Regions from separate parts of the Mus musculus genome. Here region 2 is reported to be linked to region 1. Evidence: microRNA targets listed by miRTarBase, many of them from high-throughput screens and not tested one by one. Region 1 holds a microRNA gene; the other region holds the end of a gene's coding sequence.
What was found. The annotated mature microRNA mmu-miR-6984-3p reads UACUUUCUUUCCUGUCUUUCU and lies in region 1 at 6,141-6,161, opposite strand. An mRNA with a match to its seed (bases 2 to 7 or 8) in the 3' UTR can be bound and repressed. Matches are read on the target gene's strand: a 7mer-m8 pairs with bases 2 to 8, a 7mer-A1 pairs with bases 2 to 7 and ends in A, and an 8mer does both.

Region 2: the mRNA of Rnf130 is a reported target of mmu-miR-6984-3p. The part of its 3' UTR that is shown has no 7-base or 8-base seed match.

The regions. Positions count from the first base shown.
Region 1 is chr19:3,284,431-3,295,121 of GRCm38, reverse strand. It overlaps Mir6984 (microRNA 6984), which reads right to left and starts at 6,202; the gene lies at 6,139-6,202. It overlaps Mrpl21 (mitochondrial ribosomal protein L21), which reads right to left. Exons shown (of 7, transcript NM_001347420.2): 2 at 10,305-10,362; 3 at 9,727-9,812; 4 at 8,084-8,247; 5 at 7,367-7,419; 6 at 6,035-6,138; 7 at 3,921-4,145. The coding sequence ends at 4,081.
Region 2 is chr11:50,103,828-50,108,827 of GRCm38, forward strand. It overlaps Rnf130 (ring finger protein 130), which reads left to right. Exons shown (of 9, transcript NM_021540.4): 9 at 722-932. The coding sequence ends at 737. Among named protein-coding and RNA genes, the nearest start is that of Tbc1d9b, 25 kb to the right of the region's middle.

The sequences.
Region 1 (10,691 bases):
ATCATCCTGAGTGAAGTAACCCAATCACAAAAGAACTCGCACAATATGTACTCACTGATAAGTGGATATTAGCCCAGAAATTTAGAATACCCAAGATATAAGATACAATTTGCTAAACGCATGAAACTCAAGAAGAACGAAGACCAAAGTGTGGACACTTTGCCCCTTAGAATTGGGAACAAAACACCCATGGAAGGAGTTACAGAGACAAAGTTTGGAGCTGAGACGAAAGGATTGACCATCTAGAGACTGCCATATCCGGAGATCCGTCCCATAATCAGCTTCCAAATGCTGACACCATTGCATACACTAGCAAGATTTTGCTGAAAGGACCCAGATATGGCTGTCTCTTGTGAGACTATGCCGGGGCCTGGCAAACACAGAAGTGGATGCTCACAGTCAGCTATTGGATGGATCACAGGGCCCCCAATGGAGGAGCTAGAGAAAGTACCCAAGGAGCTGAAGGGATCTGCAACCCTATAGGTGGAACAACAATATGAACTAACCAATACCCGCCTGGAGCTCCTGTCTCTAGCTGCATATGAATCAGAAGATGGCCTTGTCGGCCATCAGTGGAAAGAGAGGCCCATTGGTCTTGCAAACTTTATATGCCTCAGTACAGGGGAATGTCAGGGCCAAGAAGTGGGAGTGGGTGGGTAGGGGAGTAGGTGGGGGAGCGTGTGGGGGACTTTTGGGATAGCATTGGAAATGTAAATGAAATAAATACCCAATTAAAATTAAAAGTGAAAAAAAAATAAAATTAGCAAATGATTAGCTCAAAAAAATTTATATTTGCCTAGCGAGAGCTTAGCAGATAAGGAGTTAAGAGCGTTTATTTCTTGCCAGGTGACAGGGGCTTACGTCGTTAATACTAGTACTTGGGAGGCAGAGGCAGGTAGATCTATGTGAGTTCAAGGCCAAACTGGTTTACAGAATGACTTCCAGGACAGCCAGTGTTACATTCACAGGGCAACTCACAACTTCCTATAACTCTAGGCTCAGAGGACTCATTGGCCTCTCCGGTCTCTGTAGACAGCAGCACACAAATGGTCCAGATAAACTCACACATACAAATAAATAAGGTGTTGCAGGATATATGATCACACTGTGAACCCCACGATTGGGTTATTTACTGAAAAATCTGTTTCCAGTTATAGTGTGGCTCGGTTCTTAGCTCACACCTTTAATCCCTCTGGCTGGATTAAGTACATAGGCCCTTAGCACACACCTTTAATCCCAAACAATGAAGGTAAAGTTAGTTTGTAGAAGGAAGCACCCATGTTTGAAAGTGGCTTCTAATTGAGTAGCAGACAAAGTGATGAATCAGAAAAAGATTTGACAGAATAGCCAACGAGACAGGCCAGATTGAATCAGTTAGCTTTGAGACGCGTTTGAGCCAGAGCAGCTGAGTTGAACCAGCCTGAGTTCAGAAAGAACTAGAAAGGATGAGCTTATTCAGCAGCAAGTCTCAGAGGCTGAAAACACTCTAGGCCTCGGTGAGATTATAGAGTCAAGAAAATTCTAGGACTAAGTCAGCAGATGGAGACAGAAAGCCATGAAGACAACAATTACAACAGGCAAATACAAGTTACTTTTACAACAAGTAAATTAAATCTTTAAATTACACTGAACTTTTGTTTGGAGGTCAGAGGACAATTTTCAGGCATCAGTTCTATGTGTTAACTCAGGTTATCAGGCATGGCAGCAAGCCATTACCTGCTGAACCATCTCACCAGTCTGTAAGAGGTTATCTTAGACAAACAAGCTGGTGAGATGGGGACTTGCCACTTGAACTCAGACACTTCTGTTCCATCTTGGACACACATCCACTAATAGTAAAATTTAAAACCACAAACAAAAATAGTACTGGGGATGTAGCTGAGTTGGTAGAGCACTTGCCTAGCACACGTGACTCTGGGTTCCATCCCCAGCACTACAAGAATAAAGCCAAAGTGAGTGTGTGCATGTGCACCTGTGATACCAGCAGTCTGGAAGCAGAGGCAGGAGGATCAGACAGTCTAGATCATTATCTGCTACATACTAACTCTGAGGCCAGCCTGAGACACATACCATCTTAAACACAAAACAATGAAAGTATAGACACATATAAGCCACAGTCAAAGATTCTAGACCAATGGGCTCAGAGACACTGCTGAGCTAGCAGGAAGTTGGGGGAGAGTTGGTGTCCAGGATTCCAGCATGAGCTATGAACCGCAAGAGAAATTTGTTAGACACTGGGTTGGAGAGAAGGTTTGCTGGTTAAGAAAGAGCACACATTGTTCTTGTAGAGGACTGGAGTTCATTCCCAGTACCATGTCAGGCAGACATAACTGCTCTAGGAGATACGTAACATCTCTGTCCTCCTATGCAGACATACACACAGACAAACAACAAATAATACAAGAAGTTGGGTTGGGGGTGGCTCCGTGGGTAAAGCACTGCTGCACAAGCCTGGAGACCTGAGTTCAGATCCCCAGACTCATGTATGAGTCACGTGTTCAATCCCAATACACCTACAGGAGATGCGAGGTAGAGACAGAGGAGTCTCTGCAAGCCCCGTGGTCAGCTGGCCTGGCTTACGCAGTGGTGAAGAAACTGTCTTAAACGAGGTGCAAAGTAGGCCCGACTTCTGAGAATTGCTCTCTTTGGCATGCACTGAGGCATAAATACCCAGAGGGGTCTGTGTCTAACAGAGAGAGAGGGAGAGGGAGGGGGAGACATGGGGAGGGGGAGAGGGAGACAGAGACGAAGAGACTAATTGGTTGGATAGAGGTTGCGGGTTGTTGAGCACTTCACACCCAAGGCCTGTCTGCCACCTTCCTACCTGAGCCATGTCACAGTCAGCTGGGGCCTTTGAAAGAGGCCTGCTCTCCAGTAGCCTGCTTTTAGGCTACAGGGCTAGAGCTGGCCAGTGGGGTGCTGCCCTCTACTGCATACAGAAGGAGCTGCAGGGGAACCTGGCTGCTGGGTAACTGCCTCCCACCCAAATCCAAAAGCCCTCCAGAGTTGGGCAGCTGGAAGTGGTGGAACACACTTGCAATCCCAGCACTGAGGTTGAGATGGGTTTGCTTCAGGTTCAAGGCCACCCTGGGCTATGAGGAATAATACAGTGATACCTCCCTATCTCAAAAAACCTGAAAATCAAAAAACTTGAAAGTGAGGGTCACATCTTAGGGGCAGCAGGGAAAAGTAGGACAACTGTCACATGACTGGTCACAGGCTACTGCCACAGGAAAGGGCTGGCAGTTCCTGTGGATGGCCTGTGCTTCCTCTCTGATTCCATGCTTCTGGCTTGATCCTTAGAGCCTGTGTGACCTTCCTGGTGGTCTTCCCCCAAGGTGGGCCTGACTCACAGGGTCATAGCCCTTGAGCCCCAAACCGTTCCTAGGATCAGAACTCCTGCCTCACCCTCTGCCCTATTGTCACTGTGCTCCCCCCACCCCCTGGGGGGCTGCTGGAGCACTGACCCTGTACTGTGACCCCTGTCATAGAACCATGGAGGCTAAAGGAAGCAGCTGACACACAGATATCTCCCGGCCAGTTGCAGCTTTCCATCCTGGAGCAGCTTGCTTCATCCTGAGATAGGGTCAGAGAGCTCAGGTTAGCCCAGGGCTTACTATGCAGGTGAAGATGACCTTGAACTTGGGAATCCTTCTGACTCAGCCTCTGAGGGCTTTGCTAGGGCAGTAAGTGCACTGTCACCACATGCCCAATCCCAGCAGCTGTCCTGGTAACCCACTCCAGCTCTTGCCCACTTCTGTCCCAGGTGTGGGTCCCCTTTCTGCCTGCTACAGCTGCCAGGAATACCACCAGTCCGTACAAGCAGCAGGCTTGCTGCTAGGGCTCAGAGTGATGTTTATTCTGACGGCTAATGTACCCTACCAGGCAGCACGAACTGGCTTTAACAGCAAGTCACAGGCTCAGTCTCCTAAAAAATACTTTATTTGTTTTCATTGTCAGACAAGGTCTTGCTTTGTAGCCCAACCTAGCCTGGAACTTGTGATCCTCCTGCCTCAGCTTCCTGAGTACAGACGTGAATTTATTAGACATTTCAGAACTTCTTAGACATCGGCTCTGCAGTCACAGCAAACGAGGTGCAATCTCAATGGTGTTAATGCGGAGGATGGTCTGAGGGTTCACAATGACTGAAAGAGAGAACCTTGTCACGGGCTCAGTCTCATGTCCTTCAGACAGCAGTCTCGGGGCTCAGGTCAGTGCATTCTGCCTGGCTGCCAGCCTGGTCCCTTTTTCCTACTGTTTCTGTGATGTGGACTGACTGCCTCACTCACCGCATAGGCTCCACCCTCAGTGGCCTAAGGTTCAGGGTCTGCTCCCACAACCACACTGGCCCCAAGGCTTCCAAGGCGGGGTGGGCCTAGTCACTCTGAGTGAGGGATTGGGGAGGCTCCCCTTTAACACAGATTGTGGTTAGGTACTGTGGCTACTGACTGGGGTAGGTACGTGAAACTACATCTCACTGTCCAGGACTGCTTCACAATTGCCGCTGTTATTATTTTTGAGGGGATATGAGGGAGCCAACTAAAAATATTTGTTTAATTTGCATTTATTTTGTGTGTGCATGCAAGTTGTCACAGTGTGTCTGTGTGTGTCCACATGCAAGTGCTTATCAGAGGACAACTCGGGAGAAACTAGTTCTTTCCTTCAACTCTGTGGGTTCTGGTGTCAGCAGGTGTCTTCACCTGCCAGGCCATCCAATCGTCCTGGGCCTGGCTGGAGACAGGATCTTGCTTTGCTGTCCAGGTGGCTGGGAACCCTGCCTCAGCCTCCTCAGTGTGAGCACTAGACCTGGCCTTATCTGCTGCGATGTCACTCCCAGAGTCAGGCTCTGTAGCCATTTTGTGGTCCTGGACCCTGCCCTAGGGCCCCTCTGTTTTGCAGGGATTGACTGGCATTCTCTGGCCCTCTCACTGTTCATGGCTCACCTACTGCTTTGAGGATGTCAGATGTCTATGTCAGAACAAAGCAGGTAATAGGGAACAGGCCACACCTATTAGGGCCTCGTAATTAGGTGTTCCCTCAGGAAAGGGAGATCGACTCAGGGGCAAGGACACTGGTGTTCCCTCCGACCGTCCATGCTCCACCTAGCCTTGGCACCACACTTACCATCTGGCACTGCCCACCCATGGCTTCCACCACCACAGGGGATTCTTGCCTAGCCAGACCAACCACTGAAAAGGGAAGCAGTGCCCTGAGAAGTCACCCTTAGACTTCACCTGCCCTGTCCACAGGTCAGCAGCCTCATGACCCCACTCCTCCCAGCTGACATTGAAGCCCAGCTTGTAGCCTTCTCCTGTGGGTACTAGGCACTGTGACCTCACCCCCAGATACCCCTAAGCTGGCTCTTCCCCCAGCTTCTCTCCTTGCACTGGCTCCAGGGCGTTTTCAGCATCCTCAGGTTCCAGCCTGATGAGCCTCCTTAAAAGTCAGCCAGCTGGCCACGGCCTGACCACTCAGAGGATATTTGTATTTGGCACTTCCATGACACTGCTGGGGCCTACTAAAGGGCTAATGCAGGCAGCATCATCAGAAGGGAGGATGCGGACTGCCTGGTCTGACCAAGTGATTTCAAAGAGCACAGCTGGCTCCCCCACTTCCTGCAGAGGCCATGAACCTGTTCCTGAGCATCTAATCATGTCTCCCTTTGAATTATCTGTGACGTCATATGCACAAACACATGTGCTGACAACAGAGGCTGCCTGCCTTGTTGCTACCTCAGCCTGACTTGTGCAGAGTGTGAACTATTCCCAGCACATGTGGGAGCTGCTTCCAGTTTTCCAAGACAATCTAATATGCCACTGCTGTCCCCCAGTGTCTCAAGGTGGGTGCCATGCTGGGTTCACAGCTCTATGTGGCCTGCATGTTGCAGTGGGGCAGTGTGAGTCATCCTGGGCCCTTATCCAGCACAATGCTGGCACAATACCACCCTGGCATTGCCCAGCTACTTGGCAGGGAACATGGGCACAACCACGGTGTGCTGGGAGCACAGGGCCCCAATACACTGTCTCATACTTACTTTTTTTCTTCCTGAAGTTTTTCCTTTTCCTAAATTTCATGTTGATTTTGGGCCATGATTCTGTCTTTTCAATGACTGTGGCTTCAACTCGTACAAGCTCCTTTCTAGAAAGACAGGAAAGAAAGTACACTGTGACAGTGCTCCTCCTTCATTGCCTTTCAGTTTCACGCACAACTTGCGGAAGCTCCCCAGAGAATTCCTGGTTCTGCAGTGGGGTCTCATGCAGCCCAGACCAACCTTAAATTCTCTTTACATCCAAGGAATAAACTGACCTCTGACCCTCCTACCTCTGCTTCCTGTGTAGGGTCAATAGCTATGTGCCCCACATATGGGTCATTCATTTTGAAAACAGTGAGAAAACATAATGAAGAGTATTTAAAAAATCTTTTAGTCAGGAGTGACCACTGATGCCAGTATCTAGGAGGTAGGGGCAGGAGGATGGCCACAAATTCAAGGTAAGCCTAGTACACATTGTGAGTTCTAGTCTAACCTGGGCTACACAATTAAACTCTGGCTCAAAAACCAAAACAAAACAGAAACAAAAAACCAACAAAGAAAAAAAAATTTTTTCAATTAACTTTGTAGTGTTGAGAACACAATCCCAGGGCCTCAAACTTAACAAGTAGGCACTCTATCTCTGAGTGGAATCACCAGCCCTTAAGACTACACTGGCTGCCAGCTATGGTGGGACATGCCTTTAATCCCAGCCCCCAGGCGGCAGAGGCAGGTGGGTCTCCTGTGAGTTCAAGGCCAGCCTGGTCTACATAATAAATTCCAGGACAGCCAGGGCTACATAGAAAGACCCTGTCTCAAGAAGCAGGAAGAAAGAAAGAAAGAAAGAAAGAAAGAAAGAAAGAAAGAAAGAAAGAAAGAGAGAAAGAAAGAAAGAAAGAAAGAAAGGAAGAAAGGAAAGAAGAGACGAGACGAGACGAGAAGAGAAGAGAAGAAAAATATATTACAATGGATTAGTGACTGACTAGTCTCCTAGCTGGGTGTCTCCTGGGACACCAAACACCCTCCAGAATTGTAAGAAAGGTGTTGCATTTAACTCTTTTTTTTTTTGTTTTTGTTTTTTGTTTTTTGAGACAGGGTTTCTCTGTGTAACAACCCTGGCTGTCCTGGAACTCACTTTGTAGACCAGGCTGGCCTTGAACTCAGAAATCCGCCTCTCTCTACCTCCCAAGTGCTGGGATTAAAGGCATGTGCCACCATGCCCGGCTGCATTTAACTCTTAGAATGATGTTGAACAATCCCCATTGGGCCTGACCACACCGTGTCTAGCCTGTGAGCCAGCCCAGCCCTGGACCAAGCCCAGGGTTTGAAGCTTATTACCGGAGGAGTGGCTTGCCCAGGAGTGTGAAGTTGTCTGCCCCAACCAGCAGGACCTGAGAAGATAAAATATAGCATATTTAATCCCTGACTCTTCACCAAGGGAGCAGGTGATGCCTACATGCCGGGACTGGATGGGAAATGGAAAACACAGAAAGCTTCAAGACCCACAGTGGAGGGAGAGAAATGACCTCTGTAAGCTCTCCGACCTCCACTACCCACGGGAGAGGTAGATGCTGGAGGATCAGGAGCAGTCTGGTCTTCACGGCAAGTCTGAGGCTAGCCTCGGGTACAATACAGGAGACCTTGTCTCAAATAAAAACAATCAGACTAAACTGCTTTGGCGGCCATCAGTGCTACCACCCACATCTGTATTATGTATTATCACATCTGTATTATGTATTATCACATCTGTATTATGTATTATCACATCTGTATTATGCTGCTGGGACTTCCCAGCCTCCCCTACAATAGCAGCTGCTAGAAATCTCCCTTCGAGCTCTCTGGCAGCTTATGTCTGTGATCGAGGATATGGAGACACAGCTCAGCTCCACTGTCTTCCTCTAGTCCTAGTCTTCCTTTTGCTCTGCCTTATGCAGAGTCCAACCCTGCCTCCCACCCGCTGGCCGTGAGTCCTTTTTTCAGCACAGCTGAGAAAACCCTCAGCCATGCTCACTAGGTGCCAGAGTCCCTGAGTCCACAACACAACGTGCACCTCACCTTCTCCAGCCGAATCCTCTCTCCACACTTGATATCCAACTCATTTTCAATTAGAATCAGGTCCTCTGCGGTCACCTTCCATTGGTGGCTGGCAAAGTGCACGACAGCAAAGAGCCGGCCATACTGGCCCGTGGCGATCAGCTCATTCACCCTCTTCACAACCTCTGCAGGACAGTGGGTGGCAATCACTGCACAGGCACCAGGCTCCCTTGGGAGGACTGCTCCTGCAGTCTGTCCAGCCCTGCTTACCCAGCCAGTAGGGAGGTGCTGGCTTGGGCTGGGGCTCTCAGGAGCACTGGCAGGAAGTGTTACTTCTGCAGTTCTGGAGCAGAACCCTCATCCTGTTTGCTTTTTTTTTTTTTTTCCTTTTAAATCAATTAAGACCCAGTGCACAAGCAGAACATGATGGTGCATGCCCATAATCCCAGCATTTGGGAGGCTGAAGCGGGATGGCAGTGAGTCTAGCCTGGACTACATCCCAGGGCAAGAAGTGTGCAGTCTAAGAAGTGAGAGGACGGTCTTTCTGCAGTCTGAGGAGCCTGATTCTGTGTCCCTGAGCTGGCAGGGCCTCCTGACCACCCTGCACCCCAGCACCTTCCCTGTTCCCACGGGACCCACCTTCTCTCCACATTCCATCTCTGGCAGGCCCACCTGCCCTCCTTCCACACCCGTTCCCTGTTCCCATTACCACTACTCTGGCTCATGTCACAGTCCTTAGCTCTCAATTTTGTCCACATAGACCCCACCCCTGGGCCAAGGGCTGGACACACAGGACAGACATAACAATTCCTGCTCTGGATAAGGCCAAGGCCAGAAGCAGCTCCTGGCATCCCAGTGAAGGCTCCAGATGATGCACCAAACATGCAGACCTCTCCTGTGGTGGTGCCCTGCACAGTGAGTGAGCACTGACAGTCAGCAAGTGGTCCAGATAGGACACGCAGGGCCTATACATACAGCCTGCATACCACCACTGCCACCCCTCATCATCACATTCGTGGGTTCTGATAGCTATGGCAAGCCCTCCAACCGATCCCAGACCTCCAGGAGTGACTATACTTAGCCTGAACAGGAGCTTAAACAGTATTCTAAAATAACAGAGGATTCCCGGGAATGATGGGAACTTCGAGCTTCTGGGAAGCTGAGACATGACTCTTTAGCTGGCAACAGCTGTGCTGCCTTTTCCTGACATGTAGCCCAGGCTGGACATGACTTGTGGTGCTCCCAATTGAGTACTGGGATGACGGGGTTGGACTGATACATAACATAGCTGGAGATGGAGGTGCATGCATTATCCCTCCCATCACCTGACTGCCTCGTGGCAGATGCTGGAGAGCTGTTTATCAAGAGAAGATTCATCATAAATGTTGGTGTTTACCAACCAAAGTGAATGTGAGGTCTCACGTGTGCTGGGGTTCCAAGCACTCAGAAACCTGCTGCCTTGCCCTGTGGCAATGTACCTCAGTGACCTGTGGGAATGGACACTCAGCGCTACCCATTCATTTCCCTTTTTATTTTAACTTTTTTGAGATAGAGTCTCACTTTGTAGCCTAGGCTGGCCTCAAACTCTCAGCAATCCCCCTGCCTAGGCCTCTCAAGTGCTAGGGCTACAAAGGCCTCCCTGCCCAGCTCCTGTTAAGTCTTACCCGCATGGTGTCTCGTCTCTTCAACAGGGTCCGGCAGAACCACTTCTTGCCAGGGTGGTGAGCTCAGGGAGGTCTTAGGAACATATCTGCAAAGCGGTTTCATAAGCACACATCACATGCCCAGGAAAGGCAGCCTCAACTCCCCAACAGCAGCCGTGTGCAAGCACCAGGAGGCTGTGCAAGCTTGCTATGGAGGGGCATAAAACCCACAACACTAACGCTACCTCTACATCACTGTGAATACACACATGCATTACTTCTGTTGGGACAGAATTCTATGTATGCATGCATGCATGTGTACACATTTATGCTGAAGGAGGAACCCAAGGCCTCAAGTATGTTGGCCAAACGTGCTATCACTGAGCTATATAGAAAAATTGTTATTTTATTTTAAAGACAAGGTTTTTCTGTGTAGCTCTGGCTGTTCATATGCCTCTGCCTCCTAAGTGCTGGGATTAAAGACTTATGCTACCAAGTCTGCCATCACACCCAGCCTCAAATGTAGAGACCTTTTAACTGGAAGGTAACATTTACAGATAAGTGGAAAAATCACCAAACCCACATTTTGATATTTTTACCCTTGTGGATATGAAGCGCTCTGTGAATTGAACCTTCGAGAAGCAGACCAGAGGGAGGCTGTAAGAAGAGAAACATGGTGGGTAGTTACTCTGATGACATGTAAAGATCTGTTGCTAGCATATGGTTTAACCTACTGTATTACAACTTGTCTGTGAACAGTCCAGGGGAGCACTGGGGATGGCTCGGTGGGTAAAGTGTCTGCTATCCCACTGTAAGAACCTGAGTTCAGGTCACCAGCACTAAAATAAAATGCCAGGTACTTCTGTTACCCTAGCACTGGGGGTGGAGACAAACAGATCTTGAGGGCTTGTTGGTTAGCCAGTCTAACCAAATAGCCAGCTCCAGATTCACTGAGAAACCTTTAGAAATAAGGTGGAGAGGGGTTG
Region 2 (5,000 bases), not on the chromosome of region 1:
GGTGCCTCCACTGGAGGGGCAGCGCTGGGAGTGCCCAAGGCTTTGCATGGTGGCTGTTTTCTTTGATGATGCATAGTCAAAGGTCCAGGGGTTTGAAGCATGGATCCTCAGCACAGAGGAAAAGATCAGATTTGGGACAGTAGAAATGAAGCACATGTGGTGGTAGGGAGACCCTGCTTAGGGAAGAAGCCAAGACCAAAGGTCCAGGAAACTAGATAGTGTCAGGGACGCAAAGGACAAACAGGATCCTGGGGCACCAGAAAACTTCCCAAAGGACTGCAGGCACTTTTCAGCTCCTGTTAGAGAGGCACTAAGGTCACACTCCATGCACCCAGAATCTGAGCAAGGTCTGAAACAGCTGCACACATCCCTGAACTCTGCTCTTTAGCTCTTCCAAATAAGCCATAGTAGTCCAGGGTGATAAGAGGAGCATGCACAACAAAGGCAGCCGCAAGCCAGCTTGGATAACACTATCCCAATGTGATAAACAAGGCACTGTTAGCCATCTTTCCCCGTGTTCACTCTGAGAATATTAAAGCACTGTGAGAGGGCGAGCGGCTTGACCGCCAGTGAGAGAGAAGCCACTGTCTCAGACAAGACAGGTACTTGGGCGGGGCAGTCTCAGGGCGTCCTGCAGTTAGGATCCATCTCTGTTGTGTTAGAATGCTGACAACCTCCCTTTAACTGATTAATGACCTCTGTTTTCCCTTTTATTCCTTAGGGTAGAATGGTTTTGAAGAAGGAAAACACTGCTTTCTGACTGATTGCCTTGAAGGAAAAAAGAACCTATTTTTGTGCATCATTTACCAATCATGCCACACAAGCGTTTATTTTTAGTACATTTTATTTTTTCATAAAATTGCTAATGCCAAAGCTTTGTATTAAAATAAATAAATAATAAAATAAAAGTACCGTGTTGCTAAGTATCCTTCGCCAGCGTGTGTTTCAGAGGCTGATTTTGATACCACATGTATAATGTGCTCATGACTCCATAAGAGGGTAGGGGCAGTGTGGCTGCTCATCTTTACCATGGACTCCTGCGCTGACTGATATGGCAGAGCAAGGACATCCTGTGTGGCAGGCACTGCTCCCTCAGTGCTCAGCTGATTGTCTCTGTTTTCCTTTCAAGGATGCCTGTTCACCTGGCAACCTCTCCTTGCGTCTTCACTGGGATGTTAGCTTCACACCCATAACTTGCAGGTGTTGCTCCCCACTGTGTCTCCCATACCTGGGAGTGTGCTTGGCATGTAGTAAGTGCTCAATAAATTTATTGTAGGATGAAGGAATGAGGTGTTAAGACTTGCAAACCAAGATAGTCCTTTTACTTAGTGTGTATATTACATATTTTTAAAAAATGAACACAAAAGAATTAGCCAAGAGCCATTTTAACATGTGTAAATGAAATATTATTGAAGAAACTGTTGAGCTATTTTGTCATATTGCATGCTTAAAGGATGGTCAATATTTGTAAACTGTAGAGTAGTCAATTCTTGGCCTTTTACATTAAGGTATCTGCACTGTCATGTTTCTATGGGTCTTCATCGGCATTGTAACTGTCACGGGTCTCTTAATTGCAAAACAGTTCGTCACCCCACAAGGAAACCACACACCCACTAACAGAACTTCTCACTCGTGCCAGCCCTGGGGACTGTAAAGCCGCATGTTTCTCTGTACCCATTCTGAGCACTTCCAATGAATGTAGTCTTACAATGTGCAATCTTTTACATCTTGGCCCACAATGTGTTCAAGGATCATCTATGTTGTGTCATGTAGTAATACTTTATTTCTGTAGTAGTATGGTTTATTTTTGTATGCTATTTTTGCAAGTTTGCTGAATTTAACTAACCTTTAGAATTCTTTAGGATTTTCTATGTACACGATCATGTCATTTGAGTCTAGGGGTCTTTTATGTCTCCTTATAGTCTGTTTTACTTTCTTGCTTGTTCATCCTTAGGTAGACAGTGACTATAAAAGATATAAACTAACTTCCATGTTTTATTACAATCTCCATGGTAGAAGGGAGAATTCAGTTGGTCAGCAGTGAGTGGGAAGTCGCTATAGGATTTTCTTACTCTCCATCAACTTGAGAAAGTAATCTGTCCGTAGGTTACGAGATGCTTTTACCCCGAAACTTTTAGATGGTGTCACGTTTCCCTGTACCTATTACACTGATCTTGTGGCATTTTGTCCCATATTAACATAGTATATATTGATTTTTTTTTTTTGAGACAGGATTTGGCAATGCAGTTCAGAATGACCTCAGACCTACAATTCTCTCAAGGTCTGTTGCAGCCAAGGCAAATCCCAGTGATTACACTTTTTCCATGCTCTGAACCAGCCTCACATTCCTAGGGTAATCTCACTCACAGAGTGTGTCGTTGCAGTGTGCTAGGACTGTCAGACGACTTCTTTAGTTTGTAAGATAAGCTTGGCTCTTTGCTCCGCTTTGGCATCGTTGTAAACGCTGATCTCACCAGCTCTGCCCTCTGTGTTAGGAAGAGTACAAGGGCCGATGGTCCTTCAGATGCTGAGAACCCACATGGTCCAGGCTCCTCTTCCTAGGAAGTTTCGGGTTTCTCTAGTGTGCTCCTGCACTTGTTAGGGTTCCTGCAATTGTTGGGGCTCACTTGCTCACCCCTCAACCTCTCATCCTCTCTCATGGCTCTGGTGGTCCTGGCACTGTGAACTTGACCAGGCTGAACCCACACCTGCCGCCTCCAAATGCTCCACTACAGATGTGCACCACCTGCCACACACAGCTGGCTGTTTTCCTCTCTAAAGTGAAAGATTAGGTTATTGATCTGAGGTCTTTGGGGAGTTTTTGGTATTTTGGGGGTTTTGTTGTTGTTTTATCTGGGAACAGTCTGTATGTGCCAGGCTGGACTGGAACTCATAAGCTCAGTGAACCTTACACTCAGTATCCTCAGTAGGCAGGTTTTGCATGCTTGGCTTCTTTTTAAAGTATAGGTGCTTATAGCCAAAAGTCTCCCTCTGAGTTCTGTCTCTTCTAGCCATACTTCTTTCTATTTACTGATTTCTTCTTCCCCCTGTGATTTCTTCAACACACTGATTATTTGGCAGTTATAGTCTTTAAACCCTATGTATTTATAGATTTTTTTTCCCAGTCTGTTACAAATTTCCAATTTTGTTTTAAATTCTTCCAGATACCTTGGTTGGTTGGTTGAAATAGGTGGAGAGCTTTCGTGCCTTTTACCCTGTTTACTGTACCAAAGCTTCATTACTAGCCCATCAGTCGCAGAGGGCGCTCAGCGCGCACCTGGGAGGATGCTGCTGTTGCTAGGCACAGTGCTGTGTGAGTGTCTGCTGTGTCGAATTGGTTAATGTGTTCAGTTCTCTTTTCCTTGCTTCTCTTCTGTCCCTTCTGCCCGTCATAGACTGTGAGCACTGACTCTTCACCGACTGTTGTTAAAATCCTCTGCTTCTCCCTATGTGTAGGTTTTACACACATAGGCTTGCATATTGGGTCATGCCATGCACATGGAATCAGAGAAATGTTTAAGCCACAGTTTGCTCTTTGCATTCCTACACACTGAGCTTCACTGGTTGGGGACCCTTAGTGGCACAGCTGTCAGCTGACCTTTGATAGCTTCCTCAGTATAGTTTGGTGAATTAGTAGCATGGTCCCTGCCACCTCATCTTATTCCAGTGGAATCAAAGTGATTCTGCCTCCGCTGTTCCCTCTCATTTGTGATCAGCTGTTGCTTTCAAAATAGTCATCAGAAAATGGAGGAACTCAAACAGCAGTGTTGCTGTTTCTGCTTGTTTAATGTAGCTCCTCTCTCCACAGAGTCTCCGTCTTTAGCATCACATACTGCTTCTCTAAAAATTAGTACTATTAAATATTTTTGCAAGAAATAAAGCATAATTTTTGGCAAGAACTAAAAGATAAAAAGGAATAAAGTTATAGGTTACGACTGGAAGTGTAGGTCATCAGTAACTGAGATAAGAATGTGGTATTTTGTATCTTAGATATTTAACTGTTTTCGTGTTCTAATTGTGATCTCAGTAACCAAGAAAGTGTGTGTGTGTGTGTGTGTGTGTGTGTGTGTGTTGTGTATTAAAATGTGTTTTTTGTTCCTTTGGGCCCAATACAGAATTAGCATCAAAATAAAATTGTTTATTTTTTATTAGTCAGGATATGCATAGTTAATATATAAAATTGAATAATTTTTTCACGTAGTATTTTAAAACTTAGAATGTGACCATGTTTAGGCTGATGTGGGTATTTCAGCTCTAAATCCTTGGGGAAGAACATACAGTTGTTTTCACTTTAGGGTTTTGTTTTTTGTTTTTTAAACCAAAAATAAATGTTTTAAAGACTACTTTGTGTCACAGAAGCTCTGGCATCAGTGGATTCAGAGTTGGGAGGTGTGTCTAAAGAGGAACTTGCAGAGTCTCCTGGTCCTGTGTCAGGCCAAAGGCAGCTGCAGCCACTAAGCCTGAGCAAGCCTCATTTCCCTTTGGCCAGCAACTTTCGAGCTTTAGACTTTTTAAATAGCAGAGAAAAGATTCCCAAGTGCCCTTCCCTGTTTTCCTTTGCAGTTGTTTGGTTTTACTATAGTAAATTCCTTATCCAGAGTTTAAGAATTGGACTTAACAGCAGCAGACAACTCAGAAACTGAGCCTTGACTGCCTTCTCACTCGCTCTGCTTATGTTGGGTGTGAATGTGCTGCAGCCCGGCTTGGGTCGGGGACAAGCAGCAGAAGCCTGTGGCACTAGGTTCCTGTCCAGGCAAAGTAAACTGAGCCTGCACCATCTCAGCGTTTTCCCTGCGCCACAGCTAAAGCTGGCCTGTGACCCAGTGTCCACTTTATGTTGATTTGATCTGCATTAGAATGTGCAGCAGGCAAGCATGAGACCCTGCCTGACTCACTGAGCTTCCTGCAGCCCCAGACTCCTCACCAATGTATATAGGCTACTGTAGCAGCATATAGGACTTGGGAGATTTGAAAAATTGTGTTAGTGAAGGTGCCTGGCT